Canis lupus familiaris: one gene and its partner. The protein of the gene in region 1 purifies or fractionates together with the protein of each later gene. This does not show direct contact. Links are inferred from orthologs where the notes say so. Each region holds a gene or a part of one and is shown on either strand. Other genes may lie near its edges. The genes, in order: ATP2B4 and NPTN.

Region 1 (10,945 bases):
CATTTGAACTTGCCTTACTGTAGCATGAGTTGAAGAGAAAATCTGCTTGAGGAGCCAGGTGTGGAAGTGTACTCTCCCTACAATCTAGACTTCTTAGCAGGGCACATCCATACCTCATTGGGATCTGGCCACCATCTCCCTTTTTAGCATTCTCCACTTCCCTGGCCCATACTCCAACCAATCCATTCTTTATAGTCTCCTATGCCCTTGGGCCTTGACAACTAAAAGTCCACTAGTCTGAACTTATTATAAGCAGAGACCTTTTCAACGCCTTAGTTTCTAGATTACTGTTCAGCTATTCTAGGGGCAGTCAATAAGAATATGTTGATTGAAAGAAGGTGGCTAGAGGCAAAGTTGGTGTCCCAGTTAACTCTGACTGTTCTTAGGTACCCAATAATAAGCTCAATACAACCTATGTTTCTCACCCCTCAGACAGCATTCACTGTCAGAATGCCAGCTTCTATCAGCTCAGCACTCCACAGTGGTTTGGGAAGCAGAAGGCACAGAAACATCTATCCCTGTACATGAGAAGCTGTTGGGTAACGTGCCTGGGGTCACAGCTAAACATGGAACTAGTACCTCCGTTCCCTTCTATGGGGGGACTACCCCCTACATCATGCTCGGCTGGCATGTGGGCCAGAGGCTGTTGGAAGACTTCCATTCATGTTCTCCTACCCTTTTGCCAAGCCAAAGCCTCACCTCTGGGCGCACAGGGTCCTCAATGCCCACCACTGCGATACACGTCAGTTCAGTGAGGATTTCACTCTCATTGTCCCATGGGGGCTCGCCATCATTGAAATCCCGGTAAGCGATGCAGAGAGTTCGGAGTCCCTGAGAGGCCATGGGCTCGATGACAGTGCGGACCATCTCATCGCGGTCCTTATTCTTGAATGGAACCACTTCCCCTCTCTTGTCCAGGATTCGATTACACCTGGGGAGGCACACAGTCAGGAAGCAGCAACCCTTTCCCACCCCAGATGTCTCTACACTCATTTGCAGACATTCTGGCAATCCTGCATTACTCGTAAAGACAGCATTCTTGGGTAAGAAATCTCTGTTCATCATCCAGCCGAGTCCCTTTTCCCAAGGTGGGGTGATTTGTAGATGGATCAGGTCTAGGGAAGCCAAAGGTATGATTCTCCCATGTTGTCTGTTCCTACTCATATGTGAATGTGATGCCAAGAGTCATTTGTGGATTACCCCCTCTTTTGAACTTCTCAAAGGTGGAGAGACATTTTAAATTCCAGGTACGTGAATAGTACTAGAATGGTGCTCAGTGCATAGGGTGTGCTCCACAGGAATGGGTTGGTTGAAAGACGGTGGCTAAAGCCAAATAAAGGCCTGGTTAATTCTATAGCTACTGGCCCTGTACCTATGTCGGTCAGCCTATAATGACCCATGAACAGTCTAGCTACTTGATGAAGTTACTCAACTTCCTATAAGTGGAGTTGAGCATGAGAAGGAAAAAGGAACATAGAACTAACATTTGTTAGTACTTGCTATGTGCCTGGTATTTTACATACAGGCAAACCTTGTTTAATGACACTTTGCTTTATTGCACTTTGCAGGCATTGTTTGTTTATTTATTTATTTATTAACAAATTGAAGGTTTGTGGCGACCCTGAATCGAACGCTAATGACACCAATTTTCTAAAAGCATTTGCTCACTTCATGTCTCTGTGCCACCTTTTGGTAAGTTTTGCAATATTTTAAACTTTTTCATTATTATTGTATTTGTTACGGTGATCTGTGATGCTACTATTGTAATTGTCTGGGGACATTGCGAGTCACATGCATATAAGATGGCAAACTTAATTGATAATGTCATATGTGTTCTGACTGCTCCACTGCCTGGCTCTTTCCCGTTCTCTCCTCCTCTCCCCAGGCCTCCCCTCCCCTGAGAGACAACACTACTGGAGTTATGCCATTAATGCCCCTGCAATAGCCTCTAAGTGCTCAAGTGAAAGGAAGAGTCTCACATGTCTCACTTTAAACCAAAAGCTAGTAATGATTAAGCTTGGTGATGAAGGTGAGTCAAAAGCCAAGAGAGGCTGAAAGCTAGGCCTCTTTGCTCCCAATAGCCAAGCTCTGAATGCAAAGGAAACGTTCTTGAAGGAAATGAAAAGCATTTCTCCCATAAAACCAAACAGCCTTATTGCTGAATGGAGCAAGTTCGAGTGCTCTGGATAGAAGATGAAACCAGCCACAACATTCCCTTCAGCCAAAGCCTAATCCAGAGCAGGTCCCTAACTCTCCACAATCCTAGGAAGGCTGGGGGAGATGAAGACTCTGCAGAAAAAGTTTGAAACAGCAGAGACTGTGTCGTGAGGTTTAAGGAAAGAAGCTGTCTCTATGACATCAGAGTGTAAGGTGGAGCAGCAGGTGCTGATGTAGAAGCTATAGCAAGTGATTCAGAAGGTCTGGCTGGGATCATTAATGAACGTGGCTACACTAAATAACAGATTTTCAGTGTAGATCAAACAGCCTCATACTGGAAGAAGATGGCATCCAGGACTTTGACAGCTGGAGAGAAGTCAGTGCCCGGCTTCAGAGTTCCACAGGAAAGGCTGACTTGCTTGTTAGGGGCTCATGTAGCTGGTGACTTTAAATGGAAGCCAATGCTCATTTATCATTCTGAAAATCCCAGGGCCCTTTAGAATCATGTTGAATCTACTCTGTCTGTGCTCTATAAATGGAACAAGAAAGTCTGGATGACAGCACATCTGTTTATAATATGATTTACTGAATATTTTAAGCCCACCACTGAGAGCTACTGCTCAGAAAAAAGATTCCTTTCAAAATATGACTGCTCGCTGACAATGCACCTGATCACCCAAGAGCTTTGATGGAGCTGTCCAATGAGATTCACATTGTTTTCATGCCTGCTAACACAGCACTCATTCTGCAGCATATGAATCAGGGCGTTAAGACTTCTTATTTAAGAAATACATTTTGGTAAGGCTATAGCTGCCAGAGATAGAGATTCCTCCGATGGATCTGGGCAAAGTCAATTGGAAACCTTCTGGAAAGGACTCACCAGCCTAAATGCCATAAAGAACGTTCATGATTTATGGGAAGGGGCCAAAATAGCAACACTAATAGCAGTTTGGAAGAAGTTGATTCCAACCCTCATGGATGACTCTGACCCTCACCGTTCAGGACTTCAGGTGAGGCAGTAAGTGCAGGGAGGGTGGAAGCAGTGAGAGAACTACAGTTAGCAGCGTAGCCTGAAGATGGGACTGAATGGCTGCGATCTCATGATAAAACTTGAACAGATGAGGTGTTGCTTCTTGCAGATGAGCAAAGAAAATGATTTCTTGAGATGGAAACTACTCGATGAAGATGCTGTGAAGACTGTTGAAATGACAAGAGAGGATTTAGAATAGTACATAAACTTAGTTGATAAAGCAGCAGCAGGGTTTGAGGGGAAATGACTCCAATTTTGAAAGAAGTTTCACTGTGGGTAAAATGCTATCAAACGGCATCTCATGCTACGGAGAAATCATTCACGGAAAGAGTCAAACGATGCGGCATACTTCATTGTCCTGTTTTAAGAAACTGCCATAACTGCCTCAGCCTTCAGCACCCACTGCCCCAATCAACCAGCAGCCACTTACATCAAGGCAGACCCTCTACCAGCAAAAAGGTCTGATGATCGTTAAAGCTCAGGTGATGGTGACTATTTTCTTGGCAATAAAATATTTCTAAAGTAAGGTATGTACATTGTATTTTTATACAAAATGCTGTTGCACACTTAATAGACTACAGCCTAGTATAGCTATGAGGTTTATATGCACTGCGGAACAAAAAAAGACTCATCTGCTCCACTTCATTGGGGCAGTCTAGAACTGAACTCACAACAGCCCTGAGGTGCACCAACGTGCGACGAATCACCTAATCATAGTAACCCCGAGGGTATTCCTTGGGTTTCAGATTAGAAGATGGAAGCTTGGATTGTCAAGTTCTGAATCCTGGCTGCACCACTATGAGCTGTATCACCTTGAGCAAGTACTTCACTTCTCGTACGTCTGTTTTCTCATCTGTAGAACAGGTGTGCTAATAGCATCTACTGCACTGGGTTGTGCAGATTAAGTAGAATGGGCCCCCCGAGGCACTCAAAAGCAAGCCTCAGCCTGATTCAATGCTCAGATATTAGTGATGATGTCACCCACCGGAAAGGGGGCTCACTGACCCTTTGGATGGGTTTAGCACGGTGCATGTCACCCAGACCTTCCCACGGGGAGGACCGGGAAGGGAAGAGAAGTGGGGGAAGGGAGGCTCACTTGCGCAAGATGATCTCAGAGGCGCCCTTGCTGTACATGCGGTAGCCCCCGCTGGGCTTCTCGATGACTGTGCTCATTGACTTGCGCACAGAGTTGAAAGTGTACACCTTGTAGAGCTTCTCCTCGGGCACCTCGTTGCGCACGGCATGGTAATCCTGCTTCAGGTCAGTGACGAAGCCCAGGAGAGCACACTCGGTCTTGTTGCCCACCTGCCGCGGGAGACCTCCCTCCTTCTCTGGAGGCTGAGAGAAAAATTGTATGTGCTGTTGAGTACCATGCTTCTACTAGGGAGAACTTGGGAGGAAAGAACACCCCTACAAAATGTTCACATATGTCCCCGGCGCCCATGTGGGGATAGCATTTATCTCTTTCCCAAGGGTAAGCAGATAGTGGTCAGTGGTGACTGTGATTCCTAAGCCATCCAGGGCTTAGGGATGTTCTAGTTTGCCCTGGGGATGGTGCTGGTATCTCACCCCATGTGGGTCTCATTTGAATACCGTCCCTTAGTTTCTAGAAAGTATGGAATTTATTCCTGATAAACCCATCTCTCCTAGGGATACTGCCATCATATGGTGATTGGTGGGCATTTCATAGATCTGGATTTCTACCTGCCTCCCTATCCCCCACTCTGCTCCCATGAATCAATCCCCAGTCATCCCAAACATGTTCACCGAGGAGTAGGACATGGGATGTGCAGTGGCAATTCAGGCAGGATAAACAAGAGAACATTTCTCTGTCCAGAGAAAAGGAATTGTCCCCTCCAACCACCCATTCTAAGTGTCTAGGCAAAGGAGGAGCTTACCAGAATCTTGGAGGTATAGGCACTGTTGATAGAAATACCATTGACAATAAGGTCCAGGACCTTGGGCACAAGGACATCAGGGCTTGGGAGTTGATGGTAATGAGTGTCTCCAATATATGCCTGTACCACAGTCATGCGGTTCATGGTCAACGTGCCGGTCTTATCAGAGCAGATGGCTGTGGCATTGCCCATTGTCTCACAAGCATCCAGGTGCCGCACCAAGTTATTGTCTTTCATCATTTTCTACAAAGGAGATGAGGATAGACTTGAGGGGGGACCGACTGAGCTCTGCCAAATATATGTCAAAGGCCATTTTTTGCCAACATGTCTCCGCATCTCATCCTCTTGTCTGCACAAAAATGCAGGGTACTATTTTTGTGAATCGTCCTCAGATTCTACTGGGTTACCTAAACCTTGATGCAACGGATCAAGATGGTCCTTTTCATCTCCAAGGATGCCAATGGCTTCTGCTCTTGTGAGGCGCCACTCAATCTGTGCAGATCGTATGGCCTATCCTTTCACTGAAGGCTATGTGGCACCCTCCCCTCCCATCTCAGTCCTAAAAGAAGAGACAGCACTATTCCAGTCTCACCTTCACAGAGTAGGCCAGTGAGATGGTGACAGCCAGTGGCAGCCCCTCTGGCACAGCCACCACTAGCACAGTGATGCCAATGATGAAGAACTTGACAAAGTACTGGATGTAGATGGGGGTGCACTCCGATAGCCACGGTCTGCGGTGTATCACAAAGTTGTCAATCACAAAGTACAGGATCAGGATGAGAACTGTGATGGCAGACATGATGAGACCTGTCCAGGAAACACATCACATGAGCCCAGGCTCAAAGGCCTCCCTGGGGCCCTGGCCAGAAGGGGGCTGGCATAAAGTGTAGCCTTTGCTACCAATGTTTATTTCTTTATTTATTTTATTTTTATTTATTTTATTATTATTTTTGCTACCAATGTTTAAAACCACCATCTCCAGTCACCCCCAAATCCCCCACCCATTCTCTCTTGCTTGTACATTATCATGTAAGGGAAAAAAAATGCTGGCTTCATCTTCTATGGACACAGGTTCCAGTTTCTGTACTGCACTAACTTGACTCGTGGCTTTGGACTAGTCTTGGTTTCTCTCTGGACCTGTTTCCTCATTCATAAATAAGGAGTTGGTCTAGTTTTCTAAAATAGAAATTTTGTGATTCTCAGACCTACCCTCTTGTCACAATTCAGAATGTAGTGACTGTATTTGCCTATTTCCTAGTAGTTTATCAATTTGGGCTTCTCCCCTAGCAGATGGGAACTGTTGGGTTCCCAATTTACGACTTGTTTACAGTGATACCGCTATGGTGTCAGCCCATCACCTACATGGCTAACCTTTAGCACGGTGCTTCCTGACCTTTCTCTTTACATGGCATAGGCAGAGAATGACAATAATTTACATGTTTACAATAAGCAAAGATGTCTATAGTTACTATATAGGCCAGGCAAGCACTTCACATATAATAACTGATTTAATTCTCACAAAAACCCTGTGAGATAAGTTAGTATTATCATCCCCTTTCATGAGTAGATTGAGGCACAGAGAGTTTTTTAAAGAAGATCAAAACACAATTAGGATTTAAAAATTTTTAATCTTATTTCTTTTCATCATGGTAAGTGTATTCTTTTTTAAAAAAATTTATTTATTTAATTATTTATTTGACAGAGAGCCAGAGACAGCCAGAGAGTGGGGGGAAGCAGCAGGCAGAGGGAGTGGGAGAAGCAGGCTCCCCCTGAGCAGGGAGCCTGATGCAGGGCTTGATCCCAGGACCCTGGGATCATGACCTGGGCTGAAGGCAGACACCTAACTGACTGAGCCACCCAGGCACCCTAATAAGTGTATTCTTTAATCTCCATCACCTATTTCACCCATCCCTATACCCACCTCCCCCCACAGAGGGATTTTTGGAAAACCAGGGTACCAACTATTCTGGTTTGCCTGAGACTGAGCAGCTTCTTGGGACTCTCAGCGGTAAAATCAAGAGCGCCCCAAGCGAGCTGGGACAAGTTGGTCGTCCTACACACTGATGCAAATGGAAGAAGTTTTTCAAGGTCAGAAAGCAACTGGCTTAGGGGTTCCAACTGCCCTGGGTGCTGCCTGGCCACCCTGAAGGCTGAGGGGATCAATGTCTGGGCAACTGTACCAGATTATCTGGGGCATAATATCTGGGAAGAGCTTTGCTTCAAACCATAGTCTGGTTTGGGTCTTTGCTTTTCCTGAGGGCCTAATGATTCAAAAGAATCAGAGCAAGGCCAGAGGTGATTATATCAGTAAAAGCATATTCTTCTGAATTTTGCTTCATCAGGGTCAGGGCTGAGGTCAGGCAAACAAAGTGCCTAGTGTCCGAAATTTAAAGAAGCACTCCCCCCCGACGGTGGTACAACGCACCCTACTTGCCTCACCCCCAACTGGCCTAGCTTGAAACGTAAACCAAAACGAGAGGAGACCAGGGGCCAGCCATCAGGTAGCTTGTACTCCCTAAAGCAGGGATTGGAGGACGACAGGAGGGGGGTGGGTGGGGTCTATTCAATGTTTCACACCTGTGTGCCAGGCTTAGCCACTTGATTCCACACCTGCAGTTCATGTCCCCCGTGTACCCTTGATATGCCAGAGATTTCATGGTGGTCACCGTAAGCGAGGTACTAGAACTGAATGAACATGCTAGACTAATGCTGTCCATCGGAACTCTCTGTGATGCTTCAAACATCCTCAGTTTGCTCTGTCCAATAAGGAAGCTGCTAGCTACGCGTGGTTATGGACCAGCTCAAACAAGGCTGATGTCACTGGGGAGCTGAATGTTTCCTTGTATTTAATCGTAATTCATTTAAGGGGAAACAGCCACACATGGTTAGTGGCTACCGTAATGCCTTTTTACAGATCCTTGTCACCCGGTGTGTGGTTCATGGATCAGTGGCACTGGCGTCGCTTGGAGGCTAGTTAGAAATGCAGCACCTTGGGCCCCACCCTGGACCTCCTCAATCAGAATCTGTACTTTAACAAGATCCCAGGTGAACTGTCTGCACAGAATGTACCAGACTAGACTGATGGCAGTCAGCGGAGGGGCTGGCCCAGAAGAAAATTAAACAGTGGTACCAGGTGGCCCCTTGGAAGAAATGTCCAGGGAAGGAGCAATCTTCCTTTTGTTTCTTCCTCCAACCCCTGTTCCTAGCACCCCCAAGAGAGGAGAATGTAGAGGCAGGGGCCGGAGAAGCCACTTCCCCTCACCATACACAAGAGTGCCGTTAGCAACCCCTCCTCTGGAAAAAGCCTCTCTAAAGCATGATCTTCCTGTTTCTTCTAGTCCTTATTTTGAATGTACTGTGCTGTGCCAGCTAGGTGCTAGCGCCATGCTAGGGAATTACTGCTGGCAAACGGGAGCCTTCTCTACCCTTATGGAGCTTACGAGCCAATACAGGAAACAGGTGAGCGGTCGTCCAAGTCTTCCTTCTTGCTAAGGTGAATCTCCCCTGGGTGACAGTTCTTTATTACCCTTCTGTTTGGAGGGAAGGGGCCGTGGGGTCTTTAACCCTGGCACACAGGGGCACACTTCTCTCTGAAAAGACCCAGGGAGTGGCCAGAGGGTGGCAGAGAGAGGGGCATGGTCACCTCGGCTGCACCAGCCCCCTGGGAAGGTTCAGCTCTTTTCGCCAGCCCAGCTGGGACAGAAGGCAGGCAGCCAAAGCGGCGAGGACCCAGCAGAGTAGCATGGATAGCAAGAGGCACTGCCCTACTCACCGGCTTTCCCAATCTGAACGGCCAAGCGTGTCAGCTTGCCCTGCAGCACCGACTTCTCCTTTTTGGGCAGCTTGGCCGCCTTTTTCTCCTTTTCCTCATTGTCGATCCCCTCCTGGCTGTTGAGTGGCTGGATTTCCAGGGCCACTCCATCCTGAGTCTTTGCTAGGGTGTGCACACAAATAGGACAGGTGAGTGGGCAAGGGGGTATCACTGAGTAGCAGGCATGTGAGGACCCAAACTCTTCTGTCTCCTTCCTGGAATCCACCTGGGACCCCCAGCATCAGCTCCAACCACTCTCACCCCTGCCAGGCAAGGAGCATGCCTTCCACCCTCTACTAGGGCCTTTACAATGATATTCTGACAACTAGGGATGAAACGGGAGTACTTTTAGGTTATGGATTTCCTCTTCGGTGGCAGCTTCCTGGCACCACCTCAGAGCCCCAAGCCAGGTTTATTCCAGCAAGAGGATTAGTCATGCCACTAAGTGCTATTACCAACAGCCATCCTTCCTGGAATTCAGTGCTTAAAATAGTGAATCTTTGCTGCAGAAAGGGGCTGATGGGGAAGGCTGGTAGATGTTTCCAGAGCATAAGCATCCTAGTCTGCTGTTAAAAAGTTCATCTCTCTCTCCCTATAGACTGTCAGGGAAGAAACAGTCCCCCAAACAGTATTTTTCAGTTCCTCCTTTTATATCAGTTCAACGACTGGGGAAGGAAATGCCCTCTCTCCCCTGTCTGATGAAGGTTGGGGAGGTACAGAGTGGGGAGGTAGAGGGTTGTCTTTTGGGGGAGAGGGAAGAAGCTGGTAGGAGGGGCCGTCTGGAATAAGAGGGATAAAGACAGACATATAAATCCACTTGGTTTTCAAAAGAAGAGTTAAAGAGACCTAAAATTAAAGACTTCTTTCTGTGGAGCCCTGGTTCTCCAATGTGATGACTTTATTCCTAAAGACTCCTATGACATGGGTACAAAGAAAAAAATCTCCAGTAGCTGTCTCAAGAGAGCAGTTCTCCCTGGTTCCCAGCCCCCTTCCAGCCTCACCCCTGCGGAGCTCGGCCCCTCTGGCTTGGGAAGGGCACTTCCTGAGATACTGTCTCTGTTGTCAGACTCACAAACAAGACAGAGACGGGATGTAGACACAGCCACCAAAAAAAGAAACACACACCAGATCGGGAGGAAGAAGACAGACGGTGAAAACAAAGAGGGGTGAGGAGAGGTACAGAGGACGGGCTCTGTCCGAGCACCCCAAGAAGACTAGCAGAGAAGGAATCCAGACCAGAAGAGGACACCGATGAGGAAGGTAGCAAGAGGAGGGTGCAGGGACTGCCCACCCCAACTCCCTCTACCGTCAGGACCCTGACATCTTCTAGGCCTGAAACGGGGGTACCGGTACCGTGGGTGTTTAAATCCGGCCTAGGGCAGTGAAGCAGGGAGTTCAGTGCCCCCTGGGGAAGAGCAGATCAATCCCACGCACTCCCCAAGAGAAATCTTGATGGGAGGGTCTGTGAGACAACAGCAGGGGGTGCTGTTGTGCTGTCTTCGATGGGGATCAGGATCTGGAGACCACCCCTAAAATCTCTGCACCTTCCTCAGGATGAGGCATCTGGGCCCCAGCAGCAGATAACAGATTTATGGAGAGGAAAAGGGAGAAGGCAGATGGCCTGGAAAGGTCTGGTTTGAGTGTAGGCAGGTAGAGATGGTAAATGAGTGGGTGGAAAGGTTACCTTTGTTGCGATTTTCAGGGACTCCTTGTTTTTTACCTGTTTGAACAAGAAAGAAAAAAGTGGGGTGGAGACCCAAGGTGACTATTAAGAGATCAGGTTTCCAATCTGTTGGTCCTGCTCAGAGCCCAGAAGGGCCACAGCAAAGGGGTGGAGGGGCAGGGAAGGCCATGTAAAGGAAGTTCACGTCTCCGCTCATGTCCATGCTTTCTAGGGGCTCTTGGACTCTGCGATGTGGACCAGACCAATTTATGCGGGTGAGTGCACACCCGCACCTGGACTACTCTCTCCCAGGGCCCAGCCGCTGCTGGGAGGCTGCTCCTGGCTTGAGTCACATCACTTGGAGAAATGGGGTAGGGGTTAGAGAG
Region 2 (10,945 bases), on another chromosome or scaffold:
TTCAAGGCCATTCCATCTGGAGGTGCAAAACACTCATGGAGTTATTACTTCTAGATTCAAGTTTTTAATGGCAGGTATGTTGTTTCAATGGTTTTAGTTAACACTTTGAATGCTTGTCATGAAAAACTGCAACTGTAGCGGACAGATAGGCTGCAATATCAGTATATTCATCTTGTCCCCAAGTTCCAGTGGTTCACTCTTAAATAGATGAGAAGACAAACCAACATTTCAGTTGTAAAATCCTGCTGTTTGTTTTCTTGTGGTGAATGCATGCACAGTTTTGGCTCAGTCCTGCAATGTAGATGGATGTGTATGTTCTATACATTTAGCCACACATCCTTACTTCCCCAAAGGACACTGTCCTTGCTGTTTTGTAATCTTTAGGAGACTTCTTTGGTCTGGAGAAGGAGATTGAGGAGAAAGCCGTAATAGTCAACCTAATACTGGGTCAGCCCGGCTGGGCCATGCCAGCAGCAAGTGTATGCATACCAGAAAATGTTCTGTGACACACCAGGGAGAGCTGGATAGTGGGGACATCCCTCTAGAAAAGACTTCAGACAGAAAGACGGGCTCAACTCTTGAGCCCTGGCCAAAACCAGAACCCCAATCCAGATGAGCCATGAGATTTTTTTTTTTTAAACCAAAAAGCTGACATTATCTGAGCTTAGAAGCCTTCTTAAATTGGTATTTCACGATTCTGATTTGTAGGTTTTTCTTTCCTGTTTTGACTAAGGGCAACTTGGTTCCCTTTGGGCAGGTCTATACGTACATGGAATGTTTTTTTAAAGAGGCCCACAAAGGGGAGGGAACAAGTAAGTGCTCTTAGTTTCTATTTTACGAAAGTCAGGTAGACTAAATGATTCAGAACAGTTTGGTTTCACTGAAGGCTTCTAGAAAACCTCTCAGCAGGATTCCACAAGGGGGCTTGGTGCACATGAAGCAGTTATGGAGGTCACAGTCTCAGTGTAGGCATCTGCAGGAGCACACGTCAGGAGTAATGTCTGTCACAGGGAGACATTGCTCCACCTGTTCCTTCGAGGCAACGGAGAGGCAAAGCCACCGCCAGCACACACAGTGACTGGAGCAAAAAAAGATTCAAAAAAAAAAAACAAAAACAAAAACAAAAAAAAAAACTAACCACAAACCAATGACTTATCAGCCAAAACAATAGGCTAGCGACACACCAGTGTCCACAGGATTCTGCTACTAACAACAGTACACTATCAAACAGGTACAGAGAACAAACCAAGACTCAAGGACACCCGAGACATCTGTGTGCTGTGAATGCAGTGGGGATCGTACAGACACACCAAGACCGAGACACACAAGCCCTGCTTCACTCTGTCCTCACCACATCGCCCGAGGCCCTCAGCATCCAGGCCAAGCCAGCTCAGCTACATGCTAGGAACTAAGCACTTCGGGGACTTAAAGACCCAGGAGCAGACTCCGCAGAGTTTCAGTGCTCTGGCTGTGCACCGGGAAACAAAATTCTAAAGCAAGATCACCAACCTACTCCCAACAGGAAAGGAAAAAGCAGGAGGGGGGAGTCGCGAGAGCCAAGCTAATCTTCTCAAAGCATCACGCGGTCCCAACCGACCCAAGCACTTTACACGCAAGCTTTTCTTCCTTTTGGTGGTGGGGGGGACAGGCCCTGCTGTCTGCCCAGTGACGTCACTTTCCAGCCCAACAAGCCGGTAACGTGCAAAGGGCTGCATGTAGGGGTTTTAGCAACAGTGGCTCTGGTGCAGCTGCCATGCCTGCAAGTGGGAGCAGGTGCTGGTCACACTAGTGTCTAAAGTCACTTCAGCTCTCTCCCCAAATCCAAGGAACCAAGAGAAGAGCCTCGTGTCTCCTACTGTCCTGGACTGAGTCACTATCTGCGGCACCACTCTCCCTTTACAGGTCAGACAAAAAAATACAACCTGACCCTAACAAGGAAATCAGGAGAGAGGGAAAGAACAGAACTACAGAAAAAAAGGTACGAAAATTAAAAAGTAAATGAGGATTAAACAGCAAACTGAAATCCAAATTAGTCGTGAAAGTGAATGAAGTAAACTTGAAGAAAAGTGTTAACATATGAACTGTGCATCGTATAGACTGAAGCGGAGATTAAACAAACTCCAAAAGCATGCATATCGCTCACTTACCACCATGTTTTAAGGGTTTGATGCAATTGAGGGGGGAAAAAAAAGAAGTCATAGTAACCGACAAATATCAACATACCCCCAAACCCTCAGGACAAAAGATAGCGGCTTAAACAGTGGCTCTCCTCTTCGCCTGGGGGTTACTCCCAGCCACTGGCTAGACGAGAGAAGAGGACTGGGGAGAAGGGAAACAAGATGCTTCTGGAATCCATCTTAGGAGAGTGAGGTTCCTGGTGGAACTGACCTCTTCCCAACCAGATGCGCTACGGCCTTCGCTCCCCTACATCCCACTGCCTCCTCACCCGGAAGGGCGCCCTGCGAAGCCCAGGAAACCACGCGGTCCCCGTGCGGGAGCACCTCCAAAAAGATGGCTTTCTAGTCAGAGTGACCAAGGGTTGACTGTGTGGTCAGAGCTCCTTTTTCACTGCCTCCATCTCACCGAGGACTATGTTTTCTAGTTTCTAAACCTGCTTCAATTTTGCCTGATCTCAGCAGAGTCGCATTAAACCAGAGAGAGATTAATGGTTACATCCAGTTGCCTTTCATTTTTGGTCCCACTGTATTTTCTCCGTAAGGTAAGTTGTCACTGACTCAGATGACCCCTAGGTTAGGAGACAATGACAGGCATGTTTTGCATGTTAATTTTAAAAGTCACATTTCTTGGGACACCTGGGTGGCTCAGTAGTTGAGTGTTTGCCTTCGGCCCAGGGCATGATCCTGGAGCCCCAGGATTGAGTCCCGCATCGGGCTCCCCATGTGGAGCCCGCTTCTCCCTCTGCCTGTGTCTCTGCCTCTCTCTTTCATGAATAAATAAATAAATAATCTTAAAAAAAAAAAAAAAAAAGTCACATTTCTTTTCCAGCACTCCTAGCCGGCTGATAAGCTTCATATGCTCCCAACTAATACACTTTGTGAACATTAGAGTAACTCTTATTTGTAGAGTGTCTAAAAGAGTTTGAATGTATCAGAGACACTAAAAATGGTCCCCCTAAAACCTCAGCTATCTTCTCCACCAGTAACTTGAGAAGTCCCTTTGAATTGCATATAAAAATTACCCCCCTAATGTGAAAACAGAAACTCTTTTTGATGCCACCACTTTTCTTAAATCAGGTCCTGTTGTTTTCATCTGAGGTCACTAAAATGTCCAGTAGAATCGAAGGCCCCAACAATGAGGCCAGTAGGGAAGGCCCCATCTCCCAGATGACTGGGGAGGACAGACCCGAAGCACACATGAATCCCTCTCTGGGTTCAGTCAGCAGAGAACCAACAAAGGAGGAAGGTGTGCTCCAATCATGTAAAGCCGTAAGATGGATGGAAGGCTAGGGGGATGCTGACTGGACCTAGTCTTTTTAGAAAAGAATTATCATTTAACATTTTCAGAGAATGTAGTCAAGAGCGAAGGTGAAAAAAAGTCTTTGATTTGACTCTGACTCATCTGTTACTGAAAACACTGAAGGTAAAAGGTGACATGCAGATAATCTACCTATAAGACAACCCATTGGGCACTGATCCTCAGTGAGACCACAGTAGTGCCTTAATGGGACTTAGTGTGAGTTTTGCTTATAAAATGTCCTGAGTAGACTCTAGTAAACTAAGAGAAAGAACTCTTTTGTTTTTTCTCCTGGAAGCCACTAAACCTTAACCCTAAGCATTTTCTATGTGAGAAATTTAAAGCAATATTTGCTTTTCTGGTGAAGCATACTCAGACTAAACTCACTAAGTTCAAATTTGTGCATGTGTATAGTTTTAAATTGTTTAAATTGTTCACTTAGTAACAATTTAAAGAGGTGAGGGGCTGAGTCACCAAGAGCTCACAGACTGCCCAAATAGGAATACTATGAGTTTTACATGAAACAGTTTCATATAAGAAAAAATTCAGTGAGTCAGAAATAAATCATAAGTCTATCCTGATAATAAAGTACCTATTTTGGCAGAGAAAACATGTCAGGCACATTAAAAAAAAAAAAAAAAAAAAAAAACACCATTTTCACAATGGCATAAATAAGTCAACAGTACCACAGATGGTTATCTGATAAAAATCCATCACCTCTAAAACTCCAATTTGTATCAGATCTAAGGTACCTCTTCATTCATCCCACAAAGGAGTGCATACCTCTATCTACATGTAGCCTCGGGGAGGGGTATGAGGGCAGAAAGCATGAGGGGGCTGGTCTTACATGGACTGTAGAGCGGTTGAGGGGAAACTGGCTGGGAAAAAAAGCCACGGCATAAGGAAAACTCACTGAGGAACAATCAGCTTTTTTTTTTCTTTAATGATTAAATCCAAGGGGACAATAAATAAAGGGGGCACAGGAGTAGGAAGCGGTGAGAGGAGGAGGGAGACAAAAAAGAAAACGGGGGCAGAAATGCTGGAGCAAGGCAGGGGTGTGGAGATGGAGAATGGAGCCTGGAGCACGCTGGCTGTCGGGAAGGGAGCGGAGAGGAGGCGAACACTGCGATAATCCCAGCGTCCCAGGTCTGTCGCCCCAATTCAACAACAGAAAAGTAAATGCTGCTTACATTCCAGTTCTTCCAAGAGACCAGAGCAAGGAGATTTTACTTTGCACTTACCCACATCTTTTATGTAGGATTCATCCGCTTCTATAAAAATTTCACTTAAAAGAGGTACCTTCCCTTCGGGAAGCCATTCAGAAGACTTGCTGACCACACAGGTCTCTACTACCTAACTGGCGGCCCCTGGAGTTCGAGAGCCATGGAGTTCTCGCTCTCTCTTAAAAAACAAGAGCTGCTTCCTCGGGCAGGTGTCTGCACTTGTCAGATCCAATACCAACCACCTCTGAAACCTAACCCGAATGTCTCCACACGTAAGAGAACAAAGCAGCTGCCTACGAGGAAGACTGGAACCTCTGAGGGGAACATGCTAAGCCAAAGGGTCACTCTGCCAAGGGAGTGGCAGCAGCCTCATCTTATGATAAAAAATCAGGTTCAAAAGCCCGTCTTTGCCTTTTCTTCCCTTTTTGCTTCTCTACCTTTCCAAAGGGAAGGCTGAGCAAGGTGTTCAGCAAAACCAACGCATTCTGAAGGGATGACAAGTCCCTGCAGAACGGGACAGCCGCTCCTGGAGAGCCAGAGGGAAATGCACACCACCTCCCTTTACTCGCAGGCCGACAGCTAAGAATTCTGCCTTGGGATCCTAATTTGTAGCAGGAAAGAGAAAAACTAGAGGGAAAAGCATTCTGCATGTGAGGATCCGAGAACGCCCTTCACCTCACAGAACAGCAGTCCTGGGGCCCCACGAGGAGGCACGTAAGGTCCCGGAGGCACACCAGCTCGTGCAGGGAGCAGGCCCGCTGGCTTCCAGCGGACGTCCCCTCGCCCGTCCCCTCGCCCCTCCGCTGGAGCACTGCGGATGACGTGCGGATGACGTGCGCGGGCAGGGGCGACCCGGGCTTCCCAGGCGCCTTGCTAGTTTCAACAGACGTCACCGCCGGCCTCACTGTAATGCTCTCTTCCACCTCAGGCAGGCAGAGAGATTCTGGAGGCGCTGAGAAGAGAGGACGTAACGGGAAGAGGCATTGCCCTCAAACACGGCCTTCCAGAGAGGCTGAAGCCACCAGCAAGGCTGCACGCCCTCCGAGGGAGCACCGGACCTCCCTCAGGAATGCTCCACGGACACACCTGATGGGGGCTGCAGTCCTGCTGGTCAGCTACTCTGCGGGCAGGGCACAGAACCCACAGCGCACAAGCGTAGGCCCAGGGCGGTCGCGCCACAGTTGGCATCCTCACCGTCACCTGAGGCCAGCCTCCACTGGACTTAGGCGCACAGAGCGACAAGCAAGTGGTGGTAATCGCAGGCTGGCTATTAACTTGATGGCAATGTCACCGGGTGGAAGGGGCGGAGCTAGTCAGGAAGCTCAAAGTACTACTGACACGAGTCTCCAGCAGCAGCTGCCCCCGACTGTAATCCTGGGGTTAGAAATGGTGTATGACCCAAAACCCCCCCAAAGCAAAACACCCGCCACAAAGATTTCCTAGGGCTTTCCTGACTGAAACATGTCCAAAAATCTAAGATTCTTGTTCTTTCCCACACTTGTTTTCACTGTAGTCCTGGTGTCCCTATCCAGTTCCACCTCTGGCCCTAAGTCAGCCTGAGGGTGCCACTCGGGCCACAGGCTCCAGGTGTTACTGCTGAGCTGTCTTGGTCTTCAAACTAGAGGTGATGGATGCATCAGACTCCACCATTCTTGTGGGACAGAAAAGCCAAATGCTTGGTGCCTGTTTCACCCAGAACCTTGAAAACCCATCACAGGGACCAACCAAGGGAACCAAAGGCTGGCTTGCTCCAATGGCTCTTCTCGAGAATGGTCTGAAGGGGTTGGGGCAGTAACCTACAAGGGCTCTACCCGGCAACCATGTGACAACCAATTAGATACCTTAAATCTGCCTGCAAGGCCAGGTGGCCTGCGATCTTGGGGTGGCTTCTAGGCTTGACCTGGATTCTCCTCAAGCTCAATCTGCCTGATGATCTGTATCGAAGGAGGACAGAGCTGAACCAAGAGACTGGTGGCTGCCTATTCCCCATGTGGGGGCTGAAGGGCAGAAGGGACCGGGGCTTGGAAAACACCCAAATGGAGGGACCGAGCTGAGGATAGCTCTAGATGGCTGATCTTAGCAGTAGGAAACGAGAAACCAGTATGAGAATTCTCTTCTCCTTTTGGGATCAAACCCCAACACTCTCAGAGTCCTTTTTGGGCACTTGGAGACCATCCCTAGGAACCAACCCCCACATTACAGCTATTTTGTAGGGATGCTCTTACCGTCAGGAACTTCATCCGGCCTCTTCCTCTTCTCATACACAACAATGATCACCACAAGGATAATGATTTCAGCCAGAATTCCCAAAAAAGGCCAGAGTGGGGCCAGGTGGCTCCGTACCCTGAGGATGGTGACAACGGAGGCAGAGCCAATAGAGTTGGTAGCATTACATTCATACTCGCCAGGGTCTTCTGTGATCTGGAGATTCACGATGCTCAGCTCAGTATAATTTTCCTTGTTGATGATGAAGAAACGGCCGGAGGTATTGACAATGTCCTGCTCGGGGGCAGAAAAAGTAAGAACACACAAAGGTCAGAGTAGGTGAATCCGTGTGCAAGACAAGGTAAGGTCCTAGCAGGACCACTGGCTGGGATGAGGGAGCAGTGTCTAGGACCATCTTTGTCCAGGGAACTTGTGAGCACTTCATTACCGGCTTCCTTTCAATAACAACAACAACACATCAGCAAGCTTCTGGCAGAGCCAGGTTAAAGCCTCCCCTGCCGTGTCCTCTAGACTTCTCCAACTTCTATGAAGTGAATGGAAGTCCTACCCTGTAGCCTCAGAAAAGACCAACTCAATCTAGAAAATGCTACTTCAAATACAAGGGAAGAAACCATCACAGGAAGAAGATGGAGAAGGAGGGGTGTGACCTCCGCAGTCAGACATATATGCTAATCTCAGGCCTATCTGAGGACTTCAGAATTAGCACATCTATTTCACACTTGGTGAGTCCTGACAAGTCGTCTTAAACCTCCTCCAGAAAGAATGCTAAGAACTTGCTCCTAGTCAGAGTAGACAAATTCCTAACTTCTCTTTCTTAAGAATCAGAAGGATTAAAAAAAAAAAAAAAAAGAATCAGAAGGATAAAGTAAAGTTTATTCAGTCAATCAATAGCTATTTACTAACGTATGCTACGTGTCTCACATCCCACTAAGGGGAAGGGGAGACAGAAAGGGAAAAGTATGACACAAAAGTGAACAAGGAGGTTGGCCTTAAGAGGGAACCAGACCTCCAAAGGGATGGTTACAGGAACACGGCAAGAAGCCCCAAGAGACGGCACGTACTGAGTACTGTGCGGCACAGAGGGAGTGGCCAGTGCCAGAAAGACTCAGGGAAAGCTTCACAGAAAAGCCAGCTTTTGCCCTGGGTGGTGGGGAAGAGAGGTGATCAAGCAGGACAGGAGTGCTCCAGGCTCTTGTGGGAAGACAGAGGGGAGAGTACACAAGCAGGGGTTGAGGTGGAGCTGGGACAAGCGTACAGCACTGGGGTAGTGGCAGGCAAAAATGGAATCATGTGTCAGTTGTTAGGCAACAGCTAAAGCATAATCAGAAATAGGGAAGAAAGGGGAAGATAATGACGTTTAACTATAGCAAACAGTGGTGCCTGCAACTGAGTGTGGGTATGGCTGAAATGGCAAATCAAGCCTTCAAAATAAATTATTCCCTGAAGCTTCAACTCGAGGACTTAGAAAGCTGCCAGCTTCTCTAACCCCTGCTCTACTGGTTCACTAAGCCCATGTTTTTCACTTATGATCAGAAGGGATTAGTTTTTTTTGTTCCACAAGCCTTTAACCTGTAGTTTTTGAACACCATCATATGCAAGAAACCTTAACCTTTTTAATCAATGCATAATAAGATAGTGAGTGGGACCTGTCCTATTGCTACAGAATTGATGACTAAGGAGAAGCATCAAAAGTACCCCATAGTCTTGGATGAAAGTACAGCACAGGGAAGAGAGTCCGTAATACTGTAATAACAATGTATGGTAACAGACGGTGACTGCGCTTAATGGTGGTGGCTACTGCATTATGTGCAGAATCGTCCATCGCTACGTTATACACCTGAAACTCCTGTAACATCATATGTCAGCTATACAGTAGTAAAAACTTTTAAATATATATAAATATTTTTAAAGGGTATCTTTTCAAATACCATTAAATTAATTTGTACTTAGGACGTTTTCACATATATTTATAACTAACAGTGACTGATATTTAGGTTTCAGTATGAAAGACTGTGTTATCTTATTCATTACATGATCAAGTCTTCCACAGTGCTGTTCATTTTCCCTCCATCTCATCTGTCAGTCTGCCACCATTTAACTGCTTTTTTGCTATATTTCCGTATTTTTCCAGTTTTTGTTTCATTCATTTTGAAACTGTATTATGTAGCATAAAAAGATCATGACAGCTTTGTCTTTATTGTGGATTACACCTGTTTTTTTTTTTTTTTAAGATTTTATTTATTTATTCATGAGAGACACAGAGAGAAAGGCACAGACACAGGCAGAGGCAGAGGGAGAAGCAGGCTCCATGCAGGGAGCCCGATGTGGGGCTCGATCCCCAGTCTCCCAGATCACGTCCTGGGCCAGTGGGGCTGCCCCTGGATTACACCTCCTGTGATAAAAAGGAACTCTTCTGGTTTCATGTTTATTTGAATTTCACTTTCTGTAATGTTAATATTTCATTTGTTCTATGTTATATACTTTCACCATATACATCTTTGTCCATCATGTTTTAATATTTCTGTACTATTGTTATATGCAGATTATCTTTAAGCAACATTTTGTTATTTTATTTCTCTGCTTTTTAATGAGGATGCTGAAAACTTTGTATTTAGTACCACTGTAATTTTTACATTTATTGTCATAAATTATGTACCCCATTATTCTTTTTAAAAAGTTCAAATAGGCTAGCCTCGGTGGCTCAGCCGTTTAGCGCCGCCTTTGGCCAAGGGCGTGATCCTGGAGACCCGGGATCAAGTCCCACATTGGGCTCCCTGCATGGAGTCTGCTTCTCCCTCTGCCTGTGTCTCTGTGCCTCTCATGAATAAATAAATAAAATCTTTAAAAAATAAAAAAATAAAAAGTTCAAACAAAACTGGGAGTAGATAGCCCTTCCAGGGCTTATTAAAAGGGAGCGCCATCAAGCTATCTTATCCCCAAGTCATCACATTACCCCTTGCCCGTCTATAAAAGAGAAGACAGGCTGATAGGTGATTGGAAAAGAGTTATTTTTATTAAAGGCTCAACTGCCCTAAATTAAAACATTCTTAAAAAAAAAAAAAAAAGCACTTGGCATTGCATGCAGCCTTTCACCCTGCAGCCAAGTGAAACAGGCACCAAAAGAGAATCACTCAAAGACTGGGGGTGCCAAGAACAAACCATCTTTTTCCAGTGGATAGGCAGGAAACCAAATGATGTGCCATATGCCTCTCAATCTTGGAAAAGGGCTGTTTGGAGGTGAGAACGCAGAGACTATATTCCCACTATTTGAAGAGCCATAATGTTCAAGTTTGGTTTCCTCTACCTAACAGGGCTGCCTTCTGAGTGAGCAGACCCCAGCAGTGAAAATAATCTGTGGCTGGAGCTAAGCGGGAAAACAGAGAGGTTCAGTAAAAGTAGATCCCTTGGGGCACCTGGGTGGCTCAGTCCATTAAGTGTCTACACTTGGCTCAGGTCATGATCCTGGTCCTGGGATCGAGCTCTGAGTGGGGCTCCCTGCTCAGCAGGGAGTCTGCTTCTCCCTCTGCCCCTCACCTACTTGTACACTCTCTCTCTTTGGCTTTCTCTTTTGAATAAATAAAATCTTAAAAAAAAAAAAAAATCACCCGGCCAATTAGAAAAGTTTTTTTTTTTTTTTTTTTTTTTAAACATCTTTGGGAGCAGATACTATCGGATTTCCAATGTTCAAGACTGCCCTTGCGCTTTACCATGTTGCCTCAATTCCCAATCAGTACTCCCTGTGTTCCAGGGATGTACTAAATTGTTCTCATTGCCTTGTCTTTCTCCAAAACAAGAAAGGTGTATTAAAACTACTTCAAGGGATCCCTGGGTGGCGCAGCGGTTTGGCGCCTGCCTTTGGCCCAGGGCGCGATCCTGGAGACCCGGGATCGAATCCCACATCGGGCTCCCGGTGCATGGAGCCTGCTTCTCCCTCTGCCTGTGTCTCTGCCTCTCTCTCTCTCTGTGACTATCATAAATAGATTAAAAAAAAAAAACAAAAAAAAAAACAAAAAAAAAAAAAC

Evidence for each region.
Region 2: the proteins of ATP2B4 (region 1) and NPTN purify together in Homo sapiens (co-immunoprecipitation; 3 studies listed by BioGRID and IntAct, with this or other methods). This does not show direct contact. The link is inferred for Canis lupus familiaris from reciprocal best matches to the Homo sapiens genes ATP2B4 and NPTN.

Annotation. Positions count from the first base shown.
Region 1 is NC_049259.1:979,861-990,805, reverse strand, and holds part of ATP2B4 (plasma membrane calcium-transporting ATPase 4), read right to left. Parts: intron 10,837-10,945; exon of another isoform or gene 10,792-10,836; intron 10,617-10,791; coding exon 10,581-10,616; intron 10,157-10,580; exon of another isoform or gene 9,963-10,156; intron 9,020-9,962; coding exon 8,858-9,019; intron 8,545-8,857; exon of another isoform or gene 8,317-8,544; intron 5,893-8,316; coding exon 5,678-5,892; intron 5,329-5,677; coding exon 5,086-5,328; intron 4,526-5,085; coding exon 4,284-4,525; intron 932-4,283; coding exon 700-931; intron 1-699. UniProt on the Homo sapiens protein: Calcium/calmodulin-regulated and magnesium-dependent enzyme that catalyzes the hydrolysis of ATP coupled with the transport of calcium out of the cell. By regulating sperm cell calcium homeostasis, may play a role in sperm motility.
Region 2 is NC_049251.1:37,290,677-37,301,621, forward strand, and holds part of NPTN (neuroplastin), read right to left. Parts: intron 7,197-10,945; coding exon 6,923-7,196; intron 6,632-6,922; coding exon of another isoform or gene 6,615-6,631; exon of another isoform or gene 4,398-6,614; intron 1-4,397. UniProt on the Homo sapiens protein: Probable homophilic and heterophilic cell adhesion molecule involved in long term potentiation at hippocampal excitatory synapses through activation of p38MAPK. May also regulate neurite outgrowth by activating the FGFR1 signaling pathway.